Sus scrofa: one gene and its partners. Each later gene encodes a partner of the first gene's protein in a complex. Links are inferred from orthologs where the notes say so. Each region holds a gene or a part of one and is shown on either strand. Other genes may lie near its edges.

Region 1 (5,883 bases):
TGATCCAGGCAAGTCTTTGGCTAAGTTGGCTTAACAAAGGACTGAATCCCAAGGAAGGAAATACATCCTTACCTTGACATTCAGACAAAAATCTCAGTGGAAGAACCTGGGCTAAAGACTTAAAGGCACTCCTTCTGCAGTGGGGAAGTCCTACCATCGGGCCACCTGCTTTCTCAAAAGCCAAGATGTCCCTGCACCATCTATCTATCTATCTAATCTTTCTCTCTCTTTATTTGCTTTTTAGGGCTGCGCCCACGGCATATGGAGGTTCCCAGGCTAGGGGTCCAATTGGAGGGAGCTGGGTCTGCGACCCAAACCACAGCTCACGGCAATGCTGGAAACCCAACCCACTGAGCAAGGCCAGGGATAGAACTGCATCCTCATGGATACTAGCTGGATTCGTTTCTGCTGCACCAAGAACAGGGAACTCCACCATCACTTAATAAAGGCATTAGGGGAGTTCCCATCATGGCTCAGCGGAAAACAAATGTGACTAGCATCCATGAGGTTGCAGGTTCGATCCCTGGCCTCGTTCTGTGGGTTAAGGATCTGGCAATGCCGTAAGCTGTGGTGTAGGTTCGAAGACGGCTGGGATCTGGAGTTACTGTGGCGTAGGCCAGCAGCTGTAGCTCCAATTAGGCCCTTACCCTGGAAACCTCCATATGCCACTGGTGCAGCCCTAAAAAGACACACACACACACACACACACACACGCATTAGGGCTCTATGTTTGGACTCCCTGCCCTCAGGATTTCCTGACCTTTCACTAATTTGTCTTTCAAAAGTAATAACTGGAGAGGGAAATCAAGAGCCTAATAAAGTCCCTACATTTGGGAGCACTGACTACTGCTTGATGGTTCCTTCTTAGGCAGGCAATCTTTTGGGGGTATATCACTGCCTCACAAGACGGGTTCCATCTTCTACAAATAGAAGTCGTAGGGACTCTGTGCAGGCACCAGTGAGGGCCAGATGACAGCAAAAGGCTTCTAGGACTCTCTTAATCGGCTTGGCCTATAAGGGTTTTTGCTGGCTTCCCTGAACCTCCAACCTTGGGCTCCAGGTTCAAGAATGCTACAGGAATACAGGGCCCTGACCCAGACCATACCTGCTTCATCTTAGCTAGCTCACGCCTTGTGTGCTCATCATTTCGAAGATCCTTCTTGTTCCCAACCAGGATGATGGGCACATTGGGACAGAAATGCTTGACTTCTGGAGTCCATTTTTCTGGGATGTTTTCTGAAAGGTGCAAAATGCACATAATTTGAAGATACATATAATTCTACCTTGAAAAATCTCCAAAAGCCCCAGCTAGGTAAATTGCAAAGAAACTTTCTGAGAAGTATAATGGACATTTAATGTCAAAATCATAAAAGGCAAACTCTAACTCCTCTTCTCTTCAGCACAGAATCACCCGCTTTTCTCAGTCCCATCAAGTTTAGTTCCTCTGGAGGTGGGACCCAGGTAAAGGTACTGGAGAAGTGAAGGATTCAAAACAGAGAGTGGCTCCACATGGTGCCACCTGCCCCAAGGAAGAAAGCTCTTTACCAGCCATTCATGTCACTGTTGGCAGATAATTCTAACAACAGGCTGCAGAAGGAGCCCCCATTCTGGGGCTATAGCTGGCCACATGCTTTCTCAATGTCTTACTCATGGACTCTTGGCATGACCTACTCTATGGGTTACTGGTATTTCAAATGATTTGAGTGGCTTTAAAAAATGAATGATAACCAGCTGGAGTTTGTGTGTGACTCAACAGGATTGGCAGCACTTCTGGAGCACTGGGATGCAGGTTCAATCCCTGCCCTACACAGTGGGTTAAAGGAGGATCCATTGTTGCAACTGTGGCTCCTACCTGATCCCTGGCCCCAGAATTCCATATGCTGTGGGCTGGCCAAAAAAGAAAATAAATAAATAAATCAAAATAAATGATAACAGCTGTAGCTTCTTGCCAATACTGCAGTAATTTAGAAAGGTTGTATGTACACCATGGTGTACAAGTGGCCTGGGTTGAACTTCCCATATCTGCCACCTTGAGCATCTCAGGGTCAGAGATACTATAAAACAGGTTAACACTAATATCTTACTTAGTTTAAATGGTCCTGATTGTAACTTGAGACTGAATTTTCTTTTTTCCTTTTCTTTTTTTTTTTTTGTCTTTTTGCCTTTTCTAAGGCCACTCCCTCGGCATATGGAGGTTCCCAGGCTAGGGGTCAAATCTGAGCTGTAGCTGCCGGGCTATGCCACAGCTCACAGCAACGCTAGATCCTTAACCCACTGAGCAAGGCCAGGGATCAAACCCGCAACCTCATGGATATTAGTCCACTGAGCCTCATTTATTGTTATTTTTTCTTTTTTTTGGCATCCCCATGGAATATGGAGTTCCCAAGCCAGGGATTAGATCCAAGCCACAGCTGTGACCTACACCACAGTTGTGGCAACAGTGGATCCTTAACCCACTGTGCCAGGCCAGGGATGGAACCTGCATCCTGGTGCTCCAGAGATGCTGCCAATCCCTTTGCATCAATGGCAGGAACTCCAAGGCTGTATTTTAGGAGTAAAGTGTTCACTCTCTGACCTCAACACATTACCAAAAGGCAGGAGTCACTGAGAATGTGGAACCACAGAACTCTCTCTCTCACAACACCGGATCCATAACCCACTTAGCAAGGCCAGGGATTGAAACTGCATCCTCATGGATATCAGTCAGATTCATTACTGATGAGCCACAATGGGAACTCCAAAAGCAAGTTCTCTTTCAGGTCTTGGTGCCTGTTTTTGCAGTGTGAAGTCAGATTCATTCATTCTTTTTCTAAATGAAAGGACATTCTGAAACATGGGGCCAACTGAGCTACTGGAATGGTCAGGTTCAAGTCTTAGCTGAGGCACTTTATTATTATTATTATTATTATTAACGATTTTAATTTTTCCATTAAAGCTGGTTTACAGTGTCTGTCAATTTTCTACTGTATAGCAAAGTGACCCAGTCATACATACATATTATATATACATTCTTTTTCTCCTTCCATCATGCTCCATTATAAGTGACTAGATATAATTCCCAATGCTATACAGCAGGATCTCACTGCTTATCGAGACATTTTATAAAAGAGCTAAAATACGGCTTTAAAAACACTACCAAGATGCAAACTATTATACATAGAATGGATAACAAGGCCCTACTGTATAGCACATAATACTTCCACAATGGAAGAGAATACTTAAAAAAAAGAATGCAATATAACAGAATCACTTTGTTATATAGCAGAAATTAATACTACATTGTAAATCAACCATACTTCAATTTAAAAAAATTTAAAAAACAAAACAAAAACACTTTGAGGATTCAACAAATCAGCAGTCCAGACAGTGGGAGGCAGTAGGCTCAATATCAACTACTTAACACCCAAAAAATCCTTCCCCAAATCCTAGTCTAAAAAATAGCTTTGTATTTAGAACCTACCTACCTTCCAAGATGAACATGGCAGCCACAGGAGACCTAAGCTGAAAAGGGATTTGGGGCTCAGGCTCTACAGTCCCAAGGCTCTAGGACCCTGGCAACTGATGATTCCTTCTCTGAAGCTCATGTCAGTTTTTCAGCCATTTAAATGCCCAGAAAGGACATGAGAAACCAAAGGTCGGCCAAGTACACAGGCAGTGACAGACATTAGGCTACAGGGCTACTCACCTAAACTATCAGGGCTATCAATAGAGAAACACATCAGTATAACATCAGTATCCGGGTAGGAGAGGGGCCTCAAACGATCATAATCTTCCTGTCCTGCTGTGTCCCACAAAGCCAACTCTACCTATGATAGGAAAAATAAACATAGAGTACAGGTTAATCCCATTACTTACTTTCAGAAGAAGTGACACTTACCATAGTACCTTCAAATGACAGACTGTTCAAAACAGTAAAATACAGATTGGAATCAAACCTGAAGGTGCTAAGAGGTATTTACACTGTTTTAGGTTACAATTTCTCAAAACTGCAAATTTTATAGACAGATAATAGAACTGAATAAAGTACCTAATTCGAAATGTTCAGTCAAAAATAACTTTGTAAAAAATAATAGTAACTAAAATAACTTTGTAGCTTTAAGTATTTAATCATAAATAACATTCTATATAGGAAAGAAAGCAGATGAACAAGAAGAGAAATCAATTATAAATAACATTCCACCAGGTATACAAAGCAAAATAGGAAAAAATCAAAATAAGTAACTTTTCCTGTTAAATTCTCTCTTTTTTTTTTTTGGCCTTTTCTAGGGCCGCTCCTGCAGCATATGGAGGGTCCCAGGCTAGGGGTCTAATTGCTGGCCTACATCAGAGCCACAGCAACTCGGGATCCGAGCCACGTCTGCGACCTACACCACAGCTCATGGCAACGCCGGATCCTTAACCCACTGAGCGAGGCCAGGGACCGAACCCGCAACCTCATGGTTCCTAGTCAGATTCATTAACCACTGAGCCACGACGGGAACTCCTGTTACATTCTCACTTAACCATTTCCTTACTTTGTCTCATCATTCTGTTCCAATGTGGAAATAAGATTGTATTTCAGTTAGTGGTTAAGTAAAGACACCATCCTGGGTATCAGGCAAGGTCTGAGCTGACAGGATAGGCCTATTATTGCTCAAAAAATGAATGAATGGCTGGATGAAAGCATCACATAGGTAGGAGGTTCTCCTTTCATACCTGGGAATTGGATCACCTTCCAGCAGTAGGAAGGCAAATTGATGCCTGGGCTTTGGACATAAGGCTCCCTTTCAGCACTGCAGCCAGCCCTGTCACTTCTTACCACCACAATGAGATTTTTACAACCCTCTGTTCAGGGGCCCTTTGGGGCTCAAGGAGTTGCCCCTCCAATGCCTAGAATATCCTTCTTCCCCAACATCTTTTTTTGGGGGGCTTTTTAGAGCTCACTAGCGACATATGGAAGTTCCCAGGCTAGGGGTCAAACTGGAGCTGTAGCTGCCGGCCTCCACCAAAGCCACAGGAACTTGGGATCTGAGCCATGTCTTCGAACTACACTACAGCTCACGGCAACACCAGATCCTTAACCCACTGAGCAAGGCCAGGGATCGAACCCACGTCCTCATGGATACTAGTCAGATTCATTATCGTGGAGCCACAATGGGAATTCCTCCCTCTAACATTTTCGGAGCCTGTATTTCAGTTTCTAAATATTATTTCTCCCTTGAAGTTGTGGCTAGTTATTTTTCCCACCTTCAACCTCTGCCTCATGTCACTCACAACTTACACAAGTCCCACAGCACCTCTATCATCAGCTTGGTAAGGGAATCCATGACCTACTGATGCCCAATCCTCATAGCTGGTCTGACCTCAGGATGGTATAGGTCATTTCATTCTCTGCCAAATTGCACTCCCCTGGCCCCTCCACACCTCAAAAGGTATTCAGACAGACACAACAGCAAACTCTGAGTCCTGATAAATGATCCCAGAGTGTCAGGCCTATCACATGTTAGAATGAGTCTTATCCGGAGTTTCTGTCGTGGCGCAGTGGTTAACGAATCGGACTAGGAACCATGAGGTCGTGGGTTCGATCCCTGCCCTTGCCCAGTGGGTTAACAATCTGGCGTTGCCGTGAGCTGTGGTGTAGGTTGCAGACGCGGCTCGGATCCCGCGTTGCTGTGGCTCTGGCGTAGGCCGGGGGCTGCAGCTCCGATTCGACCCCTAGCCTGGGAACCTCCATATGTCGCGGGAGCGGCCCAAAGAAATAGCAAAAAAGACAAAAAAGGCAAAAAAAAAAAAAAAAAAAAAAAAAAAGAATGAGTCTTATCCATTTTTGGTAGACCTACTCCCGGGACCATCATTACCTAAAATCATTGGAACTCTAAGCTCTCCTCCCTAGGCTCTACTCTT
Region 2 (6,347 bases), on another chromosome or scaffold:
TAGTCTTTCTCGCTTACCTACTATCTTTTTCAGTGTCAAATCATTTTTTTTTTTCCCTTTTCCCAAACAATGGGGCATTCCTCAAGATTCTTACCTTGGTCAAATATTCTTCTTTTTCTTTGTTGATTTTCATTTCCCTACTTAACTTCAAATATCATCTCAGGATATGGGGAGATAAACATCCAGACGTCTAGCTCAAACCTTCTCTTGAGAGTTAAAAGAACTGTTAAATATTTTTAACCTGGTTTGGTCAGTCAAAAATGTTTTAGGGCACAGCTCCTGTGTGCTAGACACTAGTGTTACAAATGTATTCAAAATGTAATTTGTGGCACAACGTTGTAAATCAACTATAAAAAATTAAATTAAAAAACAATATGAATATATAACCTAATGTCATCAAGAGGCAGAGAATCGAAAAGGCGAACAGTCCAACTCCCCAGGTCCAAAACTGACTCTTCATCTTTCCTCTTCCAATGGATTAAATACATATTTAACAGATCCCACATTCTCATTATTGCCCAGACAGTAGTGTATGACTCCTTTCCTGATTCCATATGTAAATCTTGTTCTTTATTTACAATATTCTATTCTCACTGCCATAGCCTGGTTTAGGCCGGTGTACATTTCTACCCAAACTGCAACTGCCTTCTGAAGTATTCTCTAGTTTTTCATTCAATCCATCCTGCACTCAATTGACAAATTGATTTTCCTAAACCACAGATGTGCTCCATCACTTAACTACATAAAAATGTTTACTAGTCCCTCAGTTGACAAGTCAAGCCCCCAAACTTCTTCGGCGTGGCATTCAAAGTCCTCCATTATCTGTTCTTTATCTATTAACACTTTTTCATCTCTGTCATCCACTCTTTCCCTACCTTTTGATCCAGCCAAACATGGTTATTTAATCATACCCTGAAAAAACATGAAAATTCCTATCTCTATATTTTCATGTCATTTCTCTCCCTCCACCGTCATCCTGATGAACAGTCTCCGTTCATTTCTACCTTTCAGAAGCTTAACCAACCTTTGCTCAGATAACATTATTTTTCTAAAAACTTCTCTCCATCCTCTGAATCTATATGATACGTAAAGGTCTTCCGTGCCACTCATACTTTATTTCTATTAATGTTATCTGTGTATGTATCATTCCTGTTAAGATTGTAAGCAACCTGAAAAACGAATGTCTTCTTGATCTTTCTCCTCCCACGGTAGGTATACAAGAAATATTAAGTACACACTGAATTTTAAGTATATATATATATAAATGTATACATAAAAATAATAGACATGGTCCATAAGGTTACATTGGAAGTTTCCTTCACTTTCTTCTGGAGAAAAATCACTGCCATAACAATATCTTCTTTAAAAATCACCATATTTACTTATGAAAATGACATTAGCGATTTTTTTGACCCCTATCGCTTATCAGTATACCCTTATGTATATAGGAATTGCTATAATAACTTCCTTGGCTTAGAATATAATATTGTCTTTCAATGTTTCAATTTTACATTATTGTATATGTCTACTGATGGTAAACAAAACCACCTTACCATTGAAAAGAGCAGTGTAGGAAGAAATAGCTTGCCTAGTGGCTGTTCCAAAACCCACACATCTGAGACGACACAACTTTTTTTTTTTTTTTTTGAGAGAAAGAGAAGAGCAGTCACAGTATAATTATACTTCTCTGTACCCAGTTCCTCCACACCTCCACCACCTGCACAAAATCTATCAACCCAAATGTCTGTTCAGGGCCCAGACTTTCAGGTTCCCCAGTTGAAAATAATAGATAGGTTTCCAGTTCAATAATTAATTTACCAAAGATTTACTGAATACCTACTATGTAGAAAGCACTGTGGAGGACCCTGAAATTAAAACGACGTAATTTTCACCTTCTAGAATGCATGATTAAATGCACAATACAAACACATAAACAACTCTGTTATAAAGCAGATTATGTAAGGTCTAAAAAGCTTCCAACAAGGTACAAACAGAATGGTATGAGGAGAGAGGGTGATTTAATCCGAGTATCTGAGAAGCTTCAAATGAGAGATGGATTTCTATTTGGACTCTCTTTGAAATCAAGCAAAGATTTTCGGGTTAATTATTTTACTTGTGGCCTGTAATTAAGTAGAAAACCTTTGCAATGTTCAAAGGAAAGACACAAGGTATCCAATAATCTGAACTGATATTTATTTAAAATTCTACTCCCAGAGAAATTTATATAAATAATAAATGGGCCACCAAACTTTTACAGAAATATGTTCAGCATACCTACAGCACATTAAAAAGGAAAAAACTGAACAACAGAAAACAAAATTCAGTGTCCTAGATTTATACCTCCTCTTGCAAAAATGACCTCTTCCGCCAAAGGTCTGAATCAGAGCTTGGAGCATTTGCTCTTCGAGTGAGCTCCATAGACACCATTTCTAGATTTAGATATTTCCTTGAAGATTTTGAGTTGCCATGACCTAACTCTGGACGTGTTGGGCACCAGACTGACAGATAAAAGGTCCACACTCATCTCAAGCTTAAAATAACTTGCAAGGAAGGGGTGGGGAAAGTCTGAGTTGACAGGTGCCAAAGGAGCAAATTTTAAAAAGAAGAAAGAAACTATGACAGGAATGGAAGCAAACTGGGGAACAGGCAGAAGCATGGCATTCCAAACCGCTACAATTTTTAAAAATGTTTCGTCTTTTAATCACATTACCGTAGCCACCAGACGTTTTTGCAATTACTGAACTTAACAATGAAGCAACATATTATGAAAAAGTAGGATTAATTATATGTAGCTTTGTAAAACATCTCATCCCAACTCTTAAATATCTCATCCCAAACTCTTAAGATTAATCACAAACACGAAGGAACTAAAATCGCATTATATAGATTCCGACAAGGGAAGCTGGGAAAGCATTACTAGTATGTAAGTTCGGTACCATGTTACAGACAGGCAGGGTGCAGTTTCGTGCTACAGGAGACAGGCGAAGGAGCCAAGAAAATGCGTTGAACACCGGAATAGTGCACACTGTAGTCACCCAACACGAATTCAACAGCTAGCGGCTCTATCCATCCTGCCTCACGTTCCTCGTGGCCTCTGACAAGTCATCCTTTCAACCTATGAGACTGTCCGCTCTCCCCCACCGAAAATAATTTCCGTGCAGGTTGTAAAATCACCCCCACAAACTACTTGCTCCCACTTCCCCGCCTCGGGATGAGCAGTCCCCAAGATGGGGAAAGGTCGCCCAGACAGGGAAGTTACGTGAAGTGGTCTTTCTAGCGGTCGGACCCGAGTCTCCAGCCCAGCAGCCGCGAGGGGAAGGAAGCCGGCGGCCTCTGAAGAAACCGGGATGGGGCAGCGGATGCGAGCCCGCGGGGCAGGCTCCGTGGTGCCCGGGCACCGGCTCGGGCAGGAAGAATGGAGGAGGGGAGGCGAGGCAGCGAGGTGCCCGAGAGCCGGGCGGCGGTCCGGCCCCGCGGCCCGACCCCACCCCGCACTCTGGACCCTCCCAGCCCTGGGACCCGGCGTGCGTTCCGCGTGCGCCGACTCTCCCCGGAGAAACAGCCACTGCCTCACCCCGGTGGACTGGAGAAATCCGGCAACTTTGCGCGAGAAATGCTTCCCACCCTGCACCACGCCGAGAAAGAGAAATATGTCAGGCGATGACGGGGGAGGAAGGATGACTTACCCATGTTCCTCCCAGAGGGTGAGGAGCCGGCAGGTCGAGGCGAAGGTCTCCGGTGCGGGCGGCGCGGCGCTGTGTCCTCCCTCTACCTCTGTCTCTCCCGCAACCAGGGAGGGACCCGCGGGGGGCGGCCGCCGGGGAGGAGCAGCTGGTGCTGCCGCTGCTGCTGCCGCTGCTGCTGCTGCTGCAGGCAGCGCGGCCGCGGCGGGGACGAGCGGCGGGGGGCGGGGCGGGGTAGGGCGGGGCGGGCGCAGCCTGCGGCGGGCGCAGCTCGGAGCGGGCAGGCGGCGGAGGCGCCGAGCCGGCCGGAGGAGCGCCCGCCCCGACGCGCACTCCGGGAGCGCCCCGCCCTCCCCGCCGAGCATGCTCAGTGCCTCCCTTTTTTTTCCCCCCGGGGCAAGTCAATCTGAGCGTGCGGGTGGGCGTGTGTTTGCGGGCCGGCTGCAGCCGCCGCGGAGGAGCTTGATGGCTGCCGCCGGAGGGGCGGAGGGTAGGCCCTGGGCAGGCTGGGTACCGGGACGCTGTGCCCGAACTATTACCTTCCAGGTCGCTACCCCGACCTGGCCAACCCACACCCGGAAAACGGGCCAGTCTTCATTACCCGACAGGCCGGGTGCACAGGCGGGAATTTCCCGAAGGAGGAGACCCTGGGCCGCCTCAGACCCGGGAGGGTGGTCGGGAAGCAAGGCAGTCGTCCTGAAACGGGGCCGGCATGGACATGCTGGCGATGAGGCCAGCGCCTCTGGAGACAGATATCTGAGGACGCTTGTTTTCAGAGCAGCCGTGTGGGCCCGCTGGGCACAGAGAAGGGAGGTGGCCGCGGGAAGGGCGCTTAACATTAGCGGGCACATCAGTGGGACAGTTAAGTCTGTCCTGGCTGCGGCCAGTTTAAAAGAGGTTCCCGGCAGCGAGAGGAGTGACCGCCCCGGGATTTCTTCGGAGCGTATCGTTCTCCTTCCTAGGGGAGCGCGGCCTTCCTTTCCCCGGAGGACACCCGAAAAGCCATGTCACAAGGGTGCCCTGGCCGTCGGGCGCCACCCTCCTCGGATGTGCCCATCTTTGCCCCGCTCCCTTTAAACGCGGCGGGAACAGGTTGCCAAGGCAGGAAACCAAAAGTCCGCCCAGTTGGCTGCGGCCCCATCGGGTCGAACGCCGGAGTTTCCTTGGACCACGGGGCCAGCGCCTGCTCCCCGCACCTCCCCAGCGGCGGGGACAACCTGAGCTGGGCGCTCCCTTTTGAGGGCACCCTCCCAACTGGGCATGCGCGCGAGACAGAGGCTGGTCTTGCGTCCTCCGCCCTGCGGGAGGAGGCTGGGGGAAACCTTCCCGTTCCCTGCACTCTGGTCGCGCCCCGACTCTCGGTGGTTGGGGTGAGGAGTCAGGTCGGTCTCCCCAGGCGGCAGCAACTACGGTCTAGGCGGGGAAAGGGCGCAGGCAGTAGCACAGCCTGTAGGAGGGAGATGCTGAATAGCTAAATGGAAATTTCTCTTTTTCAACTTTTACTCTTTCAGCCCAATGTTGAGAAAAGGTGCTCCCTGCCCTTCATCAGCGGCCCTCTTACAGTCAGATCCGTTTCCATTTATATGACTGATACTACAAAGCACACAAGTCAAAATAGGCCTTGTAATTTGTTGAGCAGGGCAGATTTTCTAAAACAAAAATGAAACAAAAAGGAGGAGAGGTTTGGAAAAACAAGAAAATACAATGTAACTATAGATGTCAAAGTTATTAGACTGTTCTGATGCCCAAGACAATCAAATCAGACTCTTGACTCTTCTACTACACTACCAAGTAGAGGCACTAAGGGAGGATTTATTCCAGGTCTTCTCCAGCTCTGGTAGGTCCTTGGCGTATGGGAGCATAATTCCAGCCTTCACGTGGCATGTCTGTTGACATTTTTCTTTTTTATGAGCACACCAGTCATTTTTGATTAGGGGCCCAACTCTTCCAGTATGACCTCATCTTTATATCTGCCGTGACCCTGTTCCCAAATAAGGTCACATTCTGAGATATGTTAGGACTTCAGCATATACATTTGCAGGGAACATGATTCAGTCCATACACACCAACACATACCCCTACCCTACCATGTTCCACATTCATTTTGGACCTCTCCAGAAACCACCCTGGGGTCTTTGTATCGCTGCTCTTCATTTTTTTGTCCCTCTCCCTTTCCTTAACCTAATTAATCTTCCAGATTCTCAGGTTCACTTGCTATGCTTTTCCTGCTACTTCCTTTTGTAGTCCTATATTACAGTAATTTCCAGGAGCATCTTCTTTTGTTGGGATGCATGAATTGAAACTAGCGAAAGTGGCTGCTGAGGTTTTATAACCTCCCACCTGACACTGTAAGTGCCTTTTTGTTCTGCTTGAATCCACAAGCTGTCCCCTCAGCACCCTTACGGATTAAAACTAGAAGGCTGTCTGGGCATATTGCATACAGTGAGTCCCAATGCACTGCTGTGTAACCATGGTGAGACCTGACACTGACTGCTACACACAGAGGTGGGCAGGTATACCCTCTACCTCTTTCACACACTAGTTCCCCTCCAGTCCCCGCCTTCTCCTATTGTAGGAATATAACATTTTTCTCGTAACACTCTTCCTTTATCTTTTTATTCAAAAGCTATCTACATGAGGCCCTCCCTAGTAAATATATCTAAA
Region 3 (6,498 bases), on another chromosome or scaffold:
TAACGAATCCGACTAGGAACCATGAGGTTGCGGGTTCGATCCCTGCCCTTGCTCAGTGGGTTAACGATCCGGCGTTGCCGTAAGCTGTGGTGTAGGTTGCAGACGCGGCTCGGATCCAGCGTTGCTGTGGCCCTGGTGTAGGCCAGCGGCTTCAGCTCCGATGAGACCCCTAGCCTGGGAACCTCCATATGCCGCGGGAGCGGCCCAAGAAATGGCAAATAGACAAAAACAACAACAACAACAACAAAAAAAATTGAAGACAAAGCTAGCATTATCATCCTGATCCCCACTTTCAATTTGGAATTTATCAAATAATTGATTTTACAAGTGAATGTTACAAAGAATTTCACCTTGCAGGTGACTGGGCAGCCTTGAAAACAGCACACATACAGAATTTTTCGTTGTTTTTTTTTTAATCAAAAAACATTATTACATGGCAGTGTTGGCAGAAAAGGTATCATGAATGAAAATGCATAAAAAGACACAGGTTTCCACACTCACTTTAAAAACTTGCTTCAGTTAAACAAGCTTTATGAACTCATAATGCTAAAAGAAAAAAGCCAATATATCAAAAACCTTTGTTATCTATAAATCAAAAACAAGAAAATCCACAAGTCCTAGTCAAGACAAAGGTTCATTTATTTCAACAAAGACCTTTATAACAATATCTTACCTATACTGTCACTGAAAATTCACTGTTCTAGAAGATAGCCTGAAATAATTTACTGAGTCCATAATTTACTGAGTCTAATGTATTCTTTCCTCTCTATCTCGCAGAAGAAATTCCAATTACCACAAGACCCCTAAACTCTCAGGGAGAGAAACAAGCGTCTAGGAGGATTAGAAACAATTAGGTATATTTTAGGACTTAAAGCAGCAGTAAGTGTAAACTGAAGAGCAGCAGTAAGATATTTCTATCCCTTTCAATTGCCAGTTCTAAAAGCTGAAAAATGCAGTCTCCAGACCTCATAGAAGTAACAAAGCAAGACACTGGATGGTATTCACAAGCTGCTCGGATTTAAAAAAAAAAAAAAAAAGTCCAGATATACCACATAAGAACAGTAGCTATCATGAACACATAGTTTGAGTTCTAAAATGATGAATGATTACACCCTTAAAAAGGGGGCTGGGAGGACCTGGGGAGTAGAGGATAAGGGGGGGTAAGGGAGTAAATAAATGTGTTAATTTAACTGCAAAATAATAACAGGATATAACAGAGTTCTGAGTATCCAAAGTGACCAATCAGAGCCTAAACAGAGCTGAATTCCATCCCAGCCCCAGCACGTCCCTAACACAAGAATAAAACCCTTCTTATCTTGTTCAGCCATGTGTCGCCTGCCACAAACTGCAAAACAGAACAACGCCCAAAACCAGCTAGTCTGATTTCAACTGGGGACAGACAGACTCTGTAGTCAGAAGCACCACAATGAAAGAACTCTAACTCACACAGCTGGCCTGGTGGGTCTGCACACTCTACAAAACAAAGCCATACCACATACAGTACTTCAAACTTGAAAGGATCTTTAAAAAGCTACAAAGGCGCTGTTAATTTGCCAAAGGCTCTAGAATCAGCAAAACATACCTACAGTACACTGGAGTTAAGACAGTGAGAAAACAAAATGAGGTGGGTAAGGAACTATTCTATACTCATAACTTTATCAGGCTTCCTACACAGAAATAATACTGAACCAGTACTTTCAGATTTCACCCCAACATATATCCAAATCGGGGACAACTACTCTCCTAAGAGCCAACAGAGGAGTGATATTTACAGAATAAGATATATTTAAAGAAAAAGTAATGCTCCCATATGAACAATTCTTATGAAAAAAAACAAAACAAAACCCCAAACTAGTAGTAAATTCCAAAGAAACACGAATACATACTGTCTCAGAAATACATATTAAGTGGTGTTTAAAGTTTCCTCTCTGAAAATATGTACAATCAAGCAGCACTTGAACTAATTCAAGGATATTAATACCCAAACCAATTTGCAGATTCATCTTATACTTGGAATACTCATCTCTTAATCCTTTGTGCCCAGCACAGCACCTGGCAAAGAACATGCATTAACTGCATGCTTATTGTATATTTATATCTCATCTAAGTTATAGAAAGGATAAAAACCCCAAGACCTTATTTCTAAGATAACGAAAGAGGAAGAAAATTGGAGAAATAAAGATGAAGAAAGGTCATTACTTGGGTGCTTTTAGGAGATTTTCACATAGAATGAATTGGTGACCGTAGGTTCTGTTTCTACAAAATTAAACGCTCCTACTACTGCAATGAAAACTAGTAGGACTACATTAGTACCTAATAAGACTTTTCTACAGGTTCAACAGAGAAAGCAAGAATTGAATGAACCAGAAAAACAATTACCCACACACCCAAGAAAATGATTTCTCAGAGGCAAAATAACCTGAGAGGAAAAGGAATGGGAATAACTTGAGGATATCAAAATAAGCATTGTTGCTATTCATGTTAAGTGTACTCTCAGAGAAGGTGAAAATTAAAATGCATTAAAAAAAACTCAAAAAATAGTTTAAACATTTAATGGACTCTTTTAAGTGAACATTCACGTGATACCGGAAAGCATCAACAGGAAGAGGAAATTCTGTTTTTGGAGTATCTGTTATGGTATGATAATGGAATTTGGCCCTTTTAAAATCAACAAATGAGTCTTACAATTGGGTAAAACTCTCTTATTATGAAATTAAACTACCTTTTGAGCACCACTAATGTTGTATTCATCAAAGTGCTTTCTTTAGCCCCTTACTTCATTTATTTTTTAGTTTGAAGGTTGACCCCCCTCCCCAGAAAAAAAAAAAAAAAAAAAGCTGACTGAAAACTTGGGACCTGGATAATTATGGCAATGTCATCATTAAACTGAAAAACAAAATATAGTAAAAGAATATACTTTTATCGTTAAACCTAATATTCCAAATAACTAAAGAGTAAGGGAACTCCACTTAAACCACAAATAGTCTAGTTCAATTCACCAACCACCACCAAGTAACCTAGGTACATACTACAAAGGACGCACCCAACTCAGCAAATCACCTGCCAGCCTTACTACATAATTCGCTTAAGCTTTATACTCCTTAAATGCAAATGTTTCTGGAAGATGAAATACTAAAAATGCAATAATTAAAATCTAGCCCCATGGTTCCTTGATAACTGCCCCTACCAGGTACTTAGGATTTACTAGTAATTCCAATATTCTGGAAAATTATTAAGATGATCAACACCGTGCAAGTCAATAGGTAAAGGATATCAAACTCATAAATCACGCGGCAGCTTCACAATGTTCACAAAAAAAAATTCCTAAACTGAAGCAGTGTCTATAGGACTACACGAGAGAAGTACAAGCGATGATGCACCAATACCCCAGCCGACTTCGGGCGCTGACCTTCACCCAAAATGACCTCCCTCTGGTCCCAAGATCCGTACAGAATCCTAATGCAAACTACCGACAGAAAAACACAATCATGGCTTTACCTACCCCTCCTCCGAGAATCTGGAGAAAAGTTTCTCTCCAGAAAAAAACAAACAAAACAAAACAAAACAACCCTACATTTCTAAATTCAATCAACCGGGGAACTTGGCAGCAACCCCAGGCTAATTGCAGAGCTCCGAAACAACCCTCTGTGCGATGCCTGTCAACTTCACTGGGCAAAGGCACTCGACAATCACTGACTCTCCTGCTAGGTCGGGCCCCAACCAGGGAGGCTAAGCGCAGGGTGAGCTTCATACCAACCTGTCGGTGATAGTAGACTGTGTGCCACTCATTGGGGCCCTTGGCGAGAGGTCCTCCTTTTATCCAACTTGCATTTTACAGTAACACCTCCACCCCACCCCCGGCGCTCTGGGATCAGGCCCGACTCCGTAAGGGACACAAGAGTCCAACTCAAAACTCCATTCAGGCATCTAGAACGTCCGACTGGAAGGGGTCAAGGAAAGGGGATGGAGATGGGAGCGAGGCAAGTTATCTCCCAAAATAAACCGATCAAGTCCGCCAGAAGGCGAGTCCTAGAGCTAGAGAGCGATCCTCGGGAAGTCACAGGAGAAAACTTCGTCACGGAGAGAAGTCGGCGAGCCTTGGGGAAGGGGGCCCGGGAGTCACTCCCGGGCCGGGGCAGGAGCGGCTCGGGGCTGGGTGTCGGTTCCTCCTCCGCGGTCTCGGGGGCTTGCAAGTCCCCGCCTCCAGGCCCGGCCCGCTGGGCTCCGCTCTCTATCTGGGGCTGCCGGCCGCTCGTGGCCACAGTCTCGGCCGCGTCTCGGGCCGCCCCGCGCCAGGCGCGCGCGGCTCCATGGCCCCGGGCCGGGGAACCCCTCTCGTCCTCGTCGCCGCCCCCACCAGGCTCCGGGCCCCGGGACGAGTGCGGGAGCCGGGGGAGGGGATCCCGCAGCCGGAGGTGACAGGAACCTGATTTCTCAGCGCCGCGGGCTGCTACCCATCCCTCGGAGGCCCCGACTCTTCCGCGGTCAGCACAGGCGGCGGCAGCAGCGGCTCCTCCCCGACGCGCCGGTAGGCGGCGGTTCCCGCGAGGGGCGGAGGTTCCCGTCCGGCCCGGCCTGGAAGTACCGGCTCCGGAGGCCGGCGGCGGCGACGGCGGCGACTCGGAGCGCAGAGCCGGCTCGCCGGGTTGTGGGGCCCTCACGGGGGCGCGCGCGGCGGGTGGAGGAGGCCGCCGATGGTGGGGGGCCGCCCGACAGCCGCGGGCGCGCGCACGGGTTCCGGTTCCGGTTCTGTCTTCCCGGCCCCGGCAGCGTCCAGCGCGAGCGAGCTCACTCTTCCCCTCCCCCGCCGACTTTTTTGGCCTCCTCCCCTCTGACTTCGGGAAGCCGCCTCACCCGGGATCCCTCCGCGGTGCGCGGGGCCGCCCGCGCCGCCCCCGCTTGCCGACCGCGGTTGCGCGTCAACCCGCGCGGACGCCTCCGCCAGCGTCTTGTTGGGGGGAACGAAAAAGTAGTTCGGCGGAGCGGAGGGAGGTGGGGACGGTCTGGTCCCGGGACTCCCACTCGCCAACCCACTGCCGTCCCCAGGAACGCGCGAGTGCCGGATATCTGTACTTCGTAGTCTAGTTTTCGCCAGGGACCGCCAAAGAGCACGTCCCTAATCCAGAGGAATTGAGAAGAAGCTCTTTAGAAATTACCCACCCTCTCGTCCTGGAAACTTGTAGTCTTTAAAGGGAGCATACTTGTTCTTTTTTTCGGAGAACCCTATAGACTGCTTTGGGCCGATGGAAGCGAACTCGTGTCCGGATGCACGGACACCGTTCCATCGTTTGTGAAACAAACCCCAGCACAGAGAAGTTTTGGCCTTGGGCGCTCACCTGGGGCACCTGCTGGCCTCCTCCCAGGATAGGGACCGCCGCGCACAAGTCTTGGCTGCCCACGGAGGGTTGGAGGACGAAAGTGTATGGGACTGGAGAGACGACAGAGTTTGGGAACTGGAGCCAGGATTTCTTCGTATAGTGTTGCTTTTAGGCTGCTGCTCCTGCCTTGGCAAAATGAAATGTTATTATTTGCCAAATTGAGCAAGCATGGTGCTTTCCACAGCGACTTAACAAGCTTGTTGTGGAAAGAAATGGGAGCAAAAAACAAAGTATATTTATCCAGTAAATAGCTTTACAGTTCTCTTTGAAGAGTTCCCAAATATTTTTATTTTTTTCCCCAGCTGGGTAGATAAACTTAGATATCCATCTACTTTATGATTGCATAATTTGGGATTGTAGCAATTCAAGTACCATGTACAATATATTTCTTCAATTCGGCCTGTAAACATTTGAAGTGGCTGTCTCTTTATCCATCTGTTTTCAGCTTTGAGTTCAAAGCTGTATTGTTGCGTCAAGGTCTTCAACCTTTTTTGTGGAAATCAAGTGCCAAAGCACATCTAATAAACAGTGGATGTGGAGAGGGGAAAGAATTACCTCTTAAAAACGCTGTTGCTAAAAGTCAATCCAAAAGAGTGCATGAAAGGATCATTATCCCTGAATAGATGCATGAGCTAAGGCTGACGTTAGAACCGGGTTAAAAAAAAAAAAAAGGAAAAGAAAACGATAAACAGAGGCCAAAGATGACTCTTTACTGTTTTGTTTTTAAGTTCAGGGCACAGCCAGCTAATTTTGTAATGTTTATTTTGGGAAAGAATAGAAGCAGATTAGGGTCCCAAGCCACTTTCCTAATGATCAGACCAGGACACATTGCCACCTGCTGGTGTACCCTAACATGATAATTCTATTCTGAAAACTCTTAATTAAATTGCTTATTTTCTATATGTAATTGGAAAGGGCTCCATCAGTCTATATACAATGACCAAAATGCAAACCTTTCCCCCAAACTTTTATCTTTTTTAGACATTCTAAAAAAAGGTTTTTTTGCCCTACTCTAATCATTTTACAGTGTGGGTGTCAAATTAATTGGACCCAATGACTCATCAAATCATGCATTTTAAAAATGAGCTCCCTCTTCCCTTCAAGAATGCCTCACTACACG

The links.
Region 2: the proteins of RHOA (region 1) and RAP1GDS1 are in contact, whole or in part, in a crystal structure (PDB 5ZHX), measured with the Homo sapiens proteins. The link is inferred for Sus scrofa from reciprocal best matches to the Homo sapiens genes RHOA and RAP1GDS1. Residues at the interface, in NP_001300870.1 of Homo sapiens: Ala3, Ile4, Arg5, Lys6, Asp13, Lys18, Lys51, Asp65, Tyr66, Asp67, Arg68, Leu69, Arg70, Pro71, Leu72, Ser73, Tyr74, Lys98, Trp99, Pro101, Glu102, His105, Phe106, Leu179, Cys190, Leu191; in NP_001093897.1 of Homo sapiens: Arg111, Tyr118, His121, Ser171, Glu200, Met201, Val204, Asn208, Glu211, Leu212, Glu213, Ala249, Glu253, Lys290, Thr291, Asp294, Leu295, Val297, Leu298, Leu301, Asp303, Leu334, Leu338, Ala341, Asn342, Ala344, Arg345, Asn346, Asp347, Cys350.
Region 3: the proteins of RHOA (region 1) and ARHGEF12 are in contact, whole or in part, in a crystal structure (PDB 1X86), measured with the Homo sapiens proteins. The link is inferred for Sus scrofa from reciprocal best matches to the Homo sapiens genes RHOA and ARHGEF12. Residues at the interface, in NP_001300870.1 of Homo sapiens: Arg5, Lys7, Thr19, Lys27, Val33, Tyr34, Pro36, Thr37, Val38, Phe39, Glu40, Asn41, Val43, Asp45, Glu54, Trp58, Asp59, Ala61, Gly62, Gln63, Tyr66, Asp67, Arg68, Leu69, Leu72, Ser73, Asp76, Glu97; in NP_056128.1 of Homo sapiens: Pro766, Asn768, Gln770, Glu790, Val791, Glu794, Thr798, Ala801, Cys888, Gln891, Pro892, Lys899, Arg922, Arg923, Leu924, Gln925, Lys927, Asp928, Pro931, Thr932, Met934, Gln935, Thr938, Lys939, Leu942, Leu943, Asn946, Arg968, Leu971, Asn972.

Annotation. Positions count from the first base shown.
Region 1 is NC_010455.5:31,920,026-31,925,908, forward strand, and holds part of RHOA (transforming protein RhoA), read right to left. Parts: intron 3,807-5,883; coding exon 3,686-3,806; intron 1,237-3,685; coding exon 1,106-1,236; intron 1-1,105. UniProt on the Homo sapiens protein: Small GTPase which cycles between an active GTP-bound and an inactive GDP-bound state.
Region 2 is NC_010450.4:122,003,497-122,009,843, forward strand, and holds the start of RAP1GDS1 (rap1 GTPase-GDP dissociation stimulator 1), read right to left. Parts: upstream 3,914-6,347; 5' UTR 3,691-3,913; coding exon 3,687-3,690; intron 1-3,686. UniProt on the Homo sapiens protein: Acts as a GEF (guanine nucleotide exchange factor) for the Rho family of small GTP-binding proteins (G proteins) that stimulates the dissociation of GDP to enable subsequent binding of GTP.
Region 3 is NC_010451.4:47,474,112-47,480,609, reverse strand, and holds the start of ARHGEF12 (rho guanine nucleotide exchange factor 12), read right to left. Parts: upstream 4,480-6,498; 5' UTR 3,790-4,479; coding exon 3,758-3,789; intron 1-3,757. UniProt on the Homo sapiens protein: May play a role in the regulation of RhoA GTPase by guanine nucleotide-binding alpha-12 (GNA12) and alpha-13 (GNA13). Acts as guanine nucleotide exchange factor (GEF) for RhoA GTPase and may act as GTPase-activating protein (GAP) for GNA12 and GNA13.